Astyanax mexicanus: one gene and its partners. The protein of the gene in region 1 binds, or shares a complex with, the protein of each later gene. Links are inferred from orthologs where the notes say so. Each region holds a gene or a part of one and is shown on either strand. Other genes may lie near its edges.

Region 1 (3,758 bases):
AACTGCCGGACATGCTGTCTATCTGGCTCTTGCTGCGAGGCATGCCATCGAAGATGTCGATGTAGAGATGCTCCTGAATGATGTTCCAGATCTGGTTGTTCTGTCGCTCCTGCAGGTGCCTCTTCAGCAGCTGGTAGGAGTCGCGGGAGATCCGCAAAACGAAGCGGCTCGTGCGGAAGTCTAGCAACGTCTCGTTGCCCTTCATGTGCTCCTTCTTGGTGAGGCCTGAGAGCACCCGCAAGTCGTCCTGATAGTAACACTCCTGGTCCCCATTAAACCTGAACATGAAAAGGAACGTTAGGCAGGAGCTGGAGGAGAGTTTCTGGGCAACAATTACAAGAAATACTCTGATCAAACACTGAAAAATTCACACTGTACTTATTTCCCATTATATGTCCAGTAGAGAGAGAATATATGTGTACAGTATAACTGATTTTATTTTCATCCTGTATAAATGTAGAGCATTATTAGTATCATGACATTCTGGATCACTGACCTCTGTTACAAATCTGATAGAATTCTAGTATTTTTTAATATTTATTATAGTTAGGGGTGTGTCATGTCATATTATATGCAATAATAAAACCTCATTTTAATTTTGTTGCAGTAGTGTATTCTTAAAATATTTTCTTTAATTCAGTGTTTTGTCATATCGCCAAGAGTATCATTATGGCAAAATTACCATGAAATATTGTGATATTATTTTAGGGCCATATCACCCACCCCTACTAGGCAGTGCCTGAAGAACTGACCATATCAGTCAACACACTGCAGAACTATTAGAACATCCAACTCTCTAGATCTCAGTGGGATTTCTTATGTGCTAATGAATTGTGTGAGATGTTAGATCAGAGAAAACAATAAAATGTGCACGGCAAAGGCGTTTCAGGGCCATGACTGAGACCAAAACTACTTAATTACCTACTTAATTAACCTCATATCGATATGTTTCAGATAAATGGTGATAATAGAATATGTTACGATACAGTATGTCTAAATAGTAAACAACTAATTTTATTAAGTATATAAATAAGTATTTCACTGACTGGACTATGCTGTGTGAGAAAGTCTTCATGCTGCTCCTTTAACTGTGACACTTTTCCAACATAATGCACAAGACTAAAGTCTGCACCAAAGCATTTCCACACACACCACCCATGTAGAATCTTTTTTGGAAATAAATGCAATTTCTGATGGTATTATTATGATATAAGCATTTTTATATCTTGTATAAAATGGGTTTAAATATAATGAAATATACGATTGATATATTGCCCTGCCCAACAGTAGTCACTTACTTCTCAAAAAAAGACTTGGCTTCACTTTCATGGTTGTTGTAGACCAGCTCCAGGTACATGTGCACGAAGAGTGGATAAAAGAGCTGCGACAGCTCGGCCCTGTGACAGTCCAGCACAGATTCAATGAACTTCTTCAAACCGCTGTAATAGACCTGATACAAGGATGGGTCACCCTGCTGACTGTACGCTGACAGAACCACGCTGACGTCCGGCTGGTCATCTCCTCCTGCAGACAACACATGAAATCAGAATATCATTAAAAAGTTACTTTATTTCAGTATTTCAGTTAAAAATGTACATAACATATATATTATATTTAAATATATTACACACAGAGTGATCTATTTTAAGGGTATATTTATTTTATTGCTGATGATTATGGCTTAAAGCCAATGAAAATCAGAGTCTCAGAAAATTGGAATATTATATAAGACCAATTGGTACTTTTGGCAGTCCTGCTGGAAAATGAAATTGTATTGTAATAGCATATCTTGTTATAAGACTGACATAAAAATAAGATTTAAATGACGCAGAATGTCTTTTAGTTAAGATTAAGGATCTTGTTATAAGATTGTCATAACACATGATGAGCATCTACTTCAACTAGCCCTCATAAACTTTACTATCCTGTGTTATAAGTGTTACCGGTACAAACAGAACTAATTAGCAGCTTGAGGAATTTTAAAGAAAGGTTTTAGTAATTGAAATGTTGGAGGAACCCCTAAAGGTGCTTTAAGGAGCCTTTAAGAAAACATAAGTTGCATAAAGGAACATTTATGGACTAAAACATTGTTTTGAAGGTTCCTCAAAGCCCCTCGAGTGGTGCTTTCTGTTTGAAATTGAAGAAACCATAAAAGGTTTCTCAATCAACTATTTATTTGTGTTTAGACACACACACACACACACACACACACACACACACACACACACACACACACACACAAAAAAACAAACACACACACACAAACAAAAACACACACAAACACACACTACTACTACTACTAGTTGTAGTAGTAGTAGCAGTAGTGATAGTAGTAGTAGCTGCATGCATGTGTGTTTTGACGTTTTGAGAGCAGCTCTGTTTCTTAGTCTGAAGCTCTTCTCTTTGTTCAGCTCCTCTCTATCAGACCCACCTTTAGCCGGAGCCGGAGCCGCCGCGCTCTGTGAGCCTCCAGACACCCGGCTGAGCAGCGCGCCCGCATCCCCGAGCTCCCCGCTCCCCGCCGCGGCTCCGCCGGCGCCTCCTGCAGCCTCGCTCCCCGGAGCTTCCTCCGGCTCGTCCGCCAGTCCCGCCTCCCGCCGCAGCGCGTCCACCGACTCGATCAGCTTGTTCCGCTTGAGGAACTGCAGCACGGCCAGCAGCGTCTGCTGATCCTCCGGCCGGGAGCTCGGCGCTGCAGCCGGAGCCGTGGAGCCATCGTTCATGAGCTCGGGCTTCGGCTCTTTCTCGCCCTCCAGCTCGCTCCCTCCGTCCTGCACGGCCGCCATTTTCTCCCCAGGCGCGGAAACTACTAGCTACAGACGGAACGACTCGTCAGCGAGTCGAGTTTCTTTTGAACCGGTTCTTTTGAATGAATCAGTCGAGCAGATTCAACTCAACTTCAATTCAGGACGTGACTGTTGTGCTACTGTAGCTAGCTTCAATAGAGATTAGTATTTTAGCATTTCAAGGGCATTCTGACAGCTAAGAAGAAGTGTAGGCTTTAAAATAAGAAAAGTACAAGTGTGAATTATCATGAATATTATGAAAATATTATGTTAAATCAAATTATTAGGAAAGTTAAAAATTAATATGAATATGCAGTGAAGTAAAAGTGGTAGCAGGAGAAAAAAAAATAAGAATACTCAGATACAGTATTTTAGTAGTTCCACATCTCTGGATACCAATGCTAATATCCTAAACCAACACGTCAAAATCCATCTGCGAATATATAAAGTATTTTTGTGCATGAAAAAGCAACTTCTGTAGGCACCGACATTTAAAAAAAATATATGTTTTAAAGCTTTAGTATTTATACACTTTCCTACTGACTATTCTTTGAGAGTGAAGAAAATAAAATTAATTATACAATCCTGTCCTACACAGTTATTTATTTCACACTCTAAAAACGTTAATAAATATTTGGATCAGACTCAATTAGGTGAAGCAAAATGCAAACCTAGTTTAATTCTAATTACTATTTAAAATACAAACCCATTAAACGAAGACCTAATGAATCGTTCACGTCAACGTTCGATTCACTGAATCAAGCCGGTTGCCTCTGTTCAATGAACTGAATCGAGCAGAACCAGTTCGAGCGGAAACGAGTTCTTACGCGATGACGTAGCGTGAGAGAAAAGGGACACGCCAAATGCGCGCGATTTCATTGGTTGGATTTTTCCGCTATTTTATCTCTTTTATTTTTTTATATATATTTTTTTTTCTTAATAAATTTAGATTTCTGAATGAACAAAACTTGG
Region 2 (3,758 bases), on another chromosome or scaffold:
CATTAATAAATTGGCATTATTTATTTGTCTGATGTTGTAATGATGGTCAGCGCAGATATACAAATAGGTTTGATGTCTACAACTTTAGACACATTTAAAAAATAATAAGAGCAATGTGTACAAGTATTAAACAACTATAATAAAAGTCCCCAATCCAGAGCCAAATAAAAAATAGTAATACCCCTTTAAGATGATGACCATTTAAACTTCCAGGAGCTAACATTGTGTCCCATGAAAGCTAAAGAACGCTTTTTAACAAAATGTGGCTGGTGGGGAGTTTAACCTCTTTTAATGTCTCCTACAAACTCTTTTAATGGATAATTATTAATGTTATATTTTAAAGGCATATTTGACATGTGCCTAAATAGTATTCATCACATATGTTCAATAGTTTACTACAATTTATATAGGGAATATAAGTAATAAAGTTCTGTGTTTTGTTTAAATACATGTCATATTCCATGTGTGTGTAATGTACACAATTTTCCATGTAAATGAGTAATTTAAACGTCACTTTTATTCAGATTTTTTATATCTGTTTTATTTATTGGGAACTTATTTATCCGTTATTTTAAGATGAACATTTTATTCGATTTATTTATTGGATTTTTAAAAACATGTTTATTATTTGGAACTATTTTCATCCTGTTAACCTATTAGGAACTTTTTTTACTAGAACCATTTTTAATTTGGTTTATTTATAGAAAACCTTCATTCTGGTTTATGTATTTAGAACTTTTTTTAATCTGGTGTATTTATTGAGGACTTTTTATCTGGCTTATTTACTGAGAGCCTTTTTATCTGCTTTATTTATTGAGAACTTTTTTATTTGCTTTATTTATTGTGAACTTTTTATTCCTTTAGTTCTTAATTTATTTATTAAGATTTTTTTTCCGTTTATTTATTGAAATGTTTTTTATCTGGTTAATTTATTGGGAAGGTTTTTTAAATTTTTTTGGGAACATTTGTATTAGATTTATGTATGGGAACCTTTTATCTGGTTTATTTATTGAGTTTTTTTTATCTGGTTCATTTATTGGAAGCTATTTATCTGGTTTGTTTATTGAGAACTTTTTATCCGTGTTATTTATTGGGAGCTTTTAAATTAAGGACGTGTAGATGATCCCGCACATAATCGAGTCGCGAACGGTCTTGTGTGTGTGTTGTGCGCATGCGTGGAATCGATGACTCGACTATCGGTTGAGTGAGTGAATGATGGCGCCTGCTATGGAAGCGCTAACCGACCTCCTGATCTGAAGCAGCCCGGAGAAACAGCAGCAGCAGGAGCAGCAGGCCGGTCCAGCGCGTGTTTTAGCGGCTTGTTGTGGTGTGGGATATGCCGTGTCCGGCTCGGCGGGGCTGAGAGATGTGTGAGAGCTATGCCCGCGCTCTGCTGCGGGTCTCCGTGGCGCAGGTCTGCCAGGCGCTGGGCTGGGACGCCGTGCAGCTCTCCGCCTGCGACCTGCTCTCCGACCTGCTGGAGCGGTACCTGCAGCAGCTCGCCCGGGGCTGCCACCGCTACTCCGAGCTCTGTGAGTAGAAATAAGGGATTTACACATGTGAAATAGGGCTTAGGGGTGTGTTATGTGGAGTTTTGAGTGCAAGAATACTGATTTATCAGCTCTTGGAGCCAATGTTTTGAGTGTGCGCCTGGGCTCCAGGTGGTAGCTAGCACTAGGGTAGTCAGTGTTCTGACTGTTTTGGAGCTTTAATGGAGACATGTTCGTAATAAAACTGCATTCAGAAGCTCTCTTAGCTCTGTACGTGTGAAGAAACAGGTTAAAATGTTGAAATTCAGGCAATTATGCTTTTCCTGCTCCTCTGTTTGGGAACACTGGTGCACCAAAGCTGCAGAGCAGATCTCAGTGAATGTAAATAACTTAATACTTAAATGTCTGTTAAATAATAGTTCTTCATTTTTATAGGTTTGAGTAAGCTCTATATAGCTGTTTATCATACATTTCTGCATAAGTCTGATCTAAAACGTCCTAAATCTTGAAAGTGAGTAAGATACGTAGAACCAAATCAAACATGAGGCTAAATATAGTACACTTGGTCATGTTTTTATTGAGGACAATGATTCAATAGTGTATATGTGTAGTAAAACTATGTAAACACTTAGGATTAGGAGATAGTTTAAAAAATTGAGTCAGGTTTTAGATCCTCACCACCCATGTTTATGGAAGTGCATCATCTCCCACAAACAGGTGAATTCTGGGAACATCAGAGAAAGCATTGTTGATTCACATCAAGCTGAAATTGTTTCAATAACATCTCTAATGTTTGGACTCCACAGTCAGATAGATTACAGTTACATCATTACCTCTCCCAGTAGCATCCACAAAGAAAGATCACACCAAGTGCAAGGTGTGTAATAGTCCCCAAAGTCACAATGGATTCAAAATTACTTCTAAGCAACTTCTAAACCTTTCTCACATTGTATACAAATTATGTTAGTGTTAATTATCATTAGTCTTCTATCAGAAGAGCACTGAACAACAATTCTGTGCATGGCAAAGATGCCAGGCAAAAGCAGCTGTTCACCCACAGGAACATTGCTGCCCATCTGCAGTTGGCTTAAGATCACATGGACAAGCCAGAAGGCTATTTTTGTGGATAAATTGGTGCAAAATAGCTAGATCCTAAATTACATGTGTTGTGTTTTGAGACAGAAAAGCACTGGCTTCCTGTATAAAAATCTCAACTGTGGAACATGTTGGTAGTATCATGGTTTAAGCCTGTTTTGCAGCATCTGTCCCAGGAGAACTTGCCATTATTGATCGAACAGGGAATTTTAAACTAGTGTCAGGACGTCTGTCTGTGATCTAAATATCAAACAAATATGGTTATGCAGCAACAACATGGTCCAAAACACACTTATAATATACCAAAAACAGTTGGTTTTTGGTATATTAAAGAATTAGGTTATTTTTTTGGAATAAAGAACTCACCAACATAACAGGGCTGAAGCTGCTCTGTATGGAGGAATGGACTACAATTGTTTAGAGCTGATGTGCAGAACTAAACAACCATTTCTGAAAATATTTAGTCACAGTTATTGTTGCAGAAGAAAGCAAAGGTTTACATACTTGTGCCACTCATAGATATGTAATTTATAAATAATAAATAAATGACTGAGTTAGATATTTGGACTCATTTGTTTACTTTGGTTCTACTTATCTAGTTTCAGGTCATATTTGTGTTGAAAATATACTTAAATACTTCTAAAGGTGTTTAACAAGATGTTGCCAACTCAAGCAGTCACAATATTTAATATTCTGTAAAAAAATGTATGTTAGCAATATTTGCACTAAATGTCTTCTTTATGTTTATTTGGATTTATACTAATATTATATAGAGGTAAGTACAGGTAGACACTCTCACTGACCACTGAGTTTATGTTTATTTGGGTTATTCTAATGTTATATAGACTTCTAGTTTACTCACAGATATGTAATATTGGATAGTTTTCCCTTCATAAAAAAGAGTCAAATATAGTTGGGTTTTCCTTATCCATTTTTTAGACTTGTGTATGAAAATCTGATAATATCATAATATTTATTCTGAAAATATAAGTAGAAAACCTCAAAGTGTTAAACAACTTTCAAGCATCACTATAGTAGCTAAAATTGCCAACCCAAGCAGTCAATCATGAATATTCTGTAAAAAAATAAATAAACAAAAAGTCAAGTTAGTAGGCTTAACTGAAGCAGAAAAACACGTTAATGTAATATATAATGTGAATATATTCATATTTC
Region 3 (3,085 bases), on another chromosome or scaffold:
GATGTTATATAGATGTACTACACACAGAATGATCTATTTTAAGCATGTATTTATTTTATTGTTGAGTCAATGAAACACCAAAAAACAGTCTCAAAAAATGTATTATATTATATAAAATCAACTGGTACTTTATATTACACAAAAGGCAGCCAGCACCAGCAGATGACTTGGCGCTCAAAACTATTGTTGATCATGAGTAAGTTTTACATTTTGTTAGGAAATCAAGGAACCAGAGTCTGGAGGAAGAGTGGAGAAACACACAGACCAAACTGCTCGAGGTCTAGGGTGAAGTTTCCACAATCAGTGATGGTTTGGAGAGACATGTCATCTGCTGCTTCTCTCTGCTGATAACTTTTATGGAGATGTGGTTTTCTTTTTCCAGCAGGACTTGGCACACTGCCAAAAGTATTTATTAGTCTTATATAATATTCTAATGTTCCGTCACTGATGTTTGGGTTTTTATTGGCTGTAAGCAGTCATCGCCAACAATAAATTAAATAAACACTTAAAATACATTGTGTGTTTGGAACAACTTAAAAGGAAAGAAGTGAACTCCTCTACTTCAGGAGGAGGTTTGAAAAAAAATTAATTACAAGACTTACAAATTCTAAGTGTTTTTCAAAAAGAACAAACGCTAAAAAATGAATAAAACATCTGCTTATTTATTTGTTGATGGTTCTGTTTAATTTTCCACACAGGTGCCGGAAAATGTAAAAACAAAACAATTGTTATAACAGAGCTGCAATAAATTTGAAGATCAATCCCTGCTTTAAAAAAATCCAGATAAGAACCAGCTGGTCATCCAGACCTATGTTGGTAGTCCAGCTGGTCTTGACCTGTATTTTTAGCAGGGATTACTTTTGCACAGTGCTTTATACAATCAGCCTACAGAAATTAAAACTTTACTAGACCTGTTCCAACTTTAATTCAACCAAGTAGGTCACCTTAAACATACAAACAGTTAAAGAAAATGCAAAAACAACAGGAAAAACGCATTTTATAAGAACCGGACATGTTTGTGAAACGTGCTGACCAATATACCAGCACAAAACACTGAGTTTTTAAGTCGTTTTAAACCCAGCAGTGGTAGAGAAACCACCACCACAGACTGTTCGTGTGTGAGAGACAGTTTAGGACCCATAGTTGGCCTCGTCGAAAGCCTTGCGAGCTCTCTTCAGCTCCTCGTTCATGGTGAGCAGATCTTTCACCCTGGCGAACTTTCTCGGGTCTTTTCTGATGAGAAACACGATGTCCTCCACCTGGACGCGGCCCTGCCGCCCGATGGACATGGCTTTGTGGGTCATCTCCGTGATGAACTCGATCACCAGGTCCTCCAGGATGTCCACTGACTCCGTGTAGGGGTTCTGGTCGTCTCCGAAGCCGTACATCATGCAGCGCAGCTCCTTAGAAAACAGCCTCTTTCTCCTGCCGTGTCCTGAATCCACACCGTTTCCAACATCGTCCAGATCTTCATCAAAGCCCGGATCATCGTCTTCCTCAGCCATGTTTGTGCTGCGGCCCGCAGTAGCGCTGAAGTCCCCTACTATCAACCAGAAACTCAATTCAGATACGGCAGGACACACACAAACACACACTGTTCAGACTCTAACTGTTATCCGTATAAAAAAAACGTAAGCAGTTTCCTGAATATGTAACTTACTTATGTAACTTTAAGCGCCAACCAGCTACAGAACCTTTTCTCTGGCGTTACAGCCACAAACACACACTTCCTCTTCTACTAGGACTTTACGAAGCTCTATAGAAGCACTGCTGCCACCTAGAGATCTGCACACAACTGCATCAACCTGCTTCATACTGCAGGAAAAAAAAGAAAAACATATATACAACTCTGAAAAAGAATAAGTGATTTGCTATTTATAGGTATACGTTTGAATAAAATGAACATTGTTGTTTTATTCTATAAATTACGGACAATATTTCTCCCAAATTCCAATTACAAATATTGCCATTTACAGCATGGATTTGCAGAAAATGAGAAATGGCTGAAATAACAAAAAAGATGCAGAGCTTTTAGATCTCAAATAATGCAAAGAAAACAAGTTCATATTCATAAAGTTTTAGGAGTTCTGAAATCAATATTTGATTAAATAGCCCTGTTTTTTATTCACAGTTTTCATGCATCTTGGCATGTTCTCCTCCACCAGTCTTACACACTGCTTTGGATAACTTTTTGCTACTCCTGGTGCAGAGATTTAAGCAGTTCAGCTTGGTTTGATGGATTGTAATCATCTTCTTCTGGATTTTATTTCAGAGGTTTTCAATTTGGTAAAATAAAAAAAACTCATAATTTTGTGACAATAAAGTATTTTTTTGAACACACTCATTCAAAATAAAAAAATCTGATTATGCTTATTTTCTACATTGTAATAATAATAATAATAATAATAATTAGTATAATAATAATAATAGTTATTAGTATTATTATTATCTATTTATTTATTTTTAGAACCTCCTAAAATTATATATATGTATTTTTAATTAAAAATAAATCTTAACACGTGTTTGGCGGCGAGTGATCGCTCGCAGCGCCCCCTGCAGTATTGGAGTAATGTATAAATATTGACGAAGGGTGTTTGCTGAAAGCTTGAATTGTGATCTGAAAAAAATGTTTTGAACAAAAAAAATTAATAAAAAAAAACAGCCTTTTAATACCAGTTACAGTTTAATTACAAGTTCACCAGCTACCACACTAATTACCAGTGTGTGTAGTGTGTGTAGTATAGGCTGTGTGTTCGGGCCACATTTCCCGGGGTGCACTGCATGTACACGTCAGAGGAGCGTGGCCGCTGCTGCTGCTGCTGCTGCCAGACACCAAAACAGAACGGAGTTATATATATACCATGGTGAATGAGTGTAGCGGACCCTGATCACCTGAGTAACTATACATTACCATTAAATCATCACTATCAGCAGCCCGAGACTCCATACTACAGGAACAGCTATGGTAACATAGCTCTTTACTAGGAGTACAGTCTGTAACTGGAGGGAACAATGTTAACCAGGTAAGAGAGTCTGAACACTGAGGTTTAGCTGGGTTAGCTGTTGGGTAGCGGTGGGTTAACCA

What was found. Proteins that work in one complex are often made in the same cells at the same time.
Region 2: taf5 (region 1) and taf3 share a complex: the UniProt entries of both Homo sapiens proteins name them as parts of the TFIID basal transcription factor complex. The link is inferred for Astyanax mexicanus from reciprocal best matches to the Homo sapiens genes TAF5 and TAF3.
Region 3: taf5 (region 1) and taf13 share a complex: the UniProt entries of both Homo sapiens proteins name them as parts of the TFIID basal transcription factor complex. The link is inferred for Astyanax mexicanus from reciprocal best matches to the Homo sapiens genes TAF5 and TAF13.

The regions. Positions count from the first base shown.
Region 1 is NC_064428.1:23,233,873-23,237,630, forward strand, and holds the start of taf5 (transcription initiation factor TFIID subunit 5), read right to left. Parts: upstream 2,838-3,758; 5' UTR 2,787-2,837; coding exon 2,432-2,786; intron 1,525-2,431; coding exon 1,299-1,524; intron 279-1,298; coding exon 1-278. UniProt on the Homo sapiens protein: The TFIID basal transcription factor complex plays a major role in the initiation of RNA polymerase II (Pol II)-dependent transcription.
Region 2 is NC_064409.1:21,105,494-21,109,251, forward strand, and holds the start of taf3 (transcription initiation factor TFIID subunit 3), read left to right. Parts: upstream 1-1,185; 5' UTR 1,186-1,366; coding exon 1,367-1,532; intron 1,533-3,758. UniProt on the Homo sapiens protein: The TFIID basal transcription factor complex plays a major role in the initiation of RNA polymerase II (Pol II)-dependent transcription.
Region 3 is NC_064420.1:35,142,972-35,146,056, forward strand, and holds taf13 (transcription initiation factor TFIID subunit 13), read right to left. Parts: upstream 1,799-3,085; 5' UTR 1,661-1,798; intron 1,544-1,660; 5' UTR 1,506-1,543; coding exon 1,131-1,505; 3' UTR 643-1,130; downstream 1-642. UniProt on the Homo sapiens protein: The TFIID basal transcription factor complex plays a major role in the initiation of RNA polymerase II (Pol II)-dependent transcription.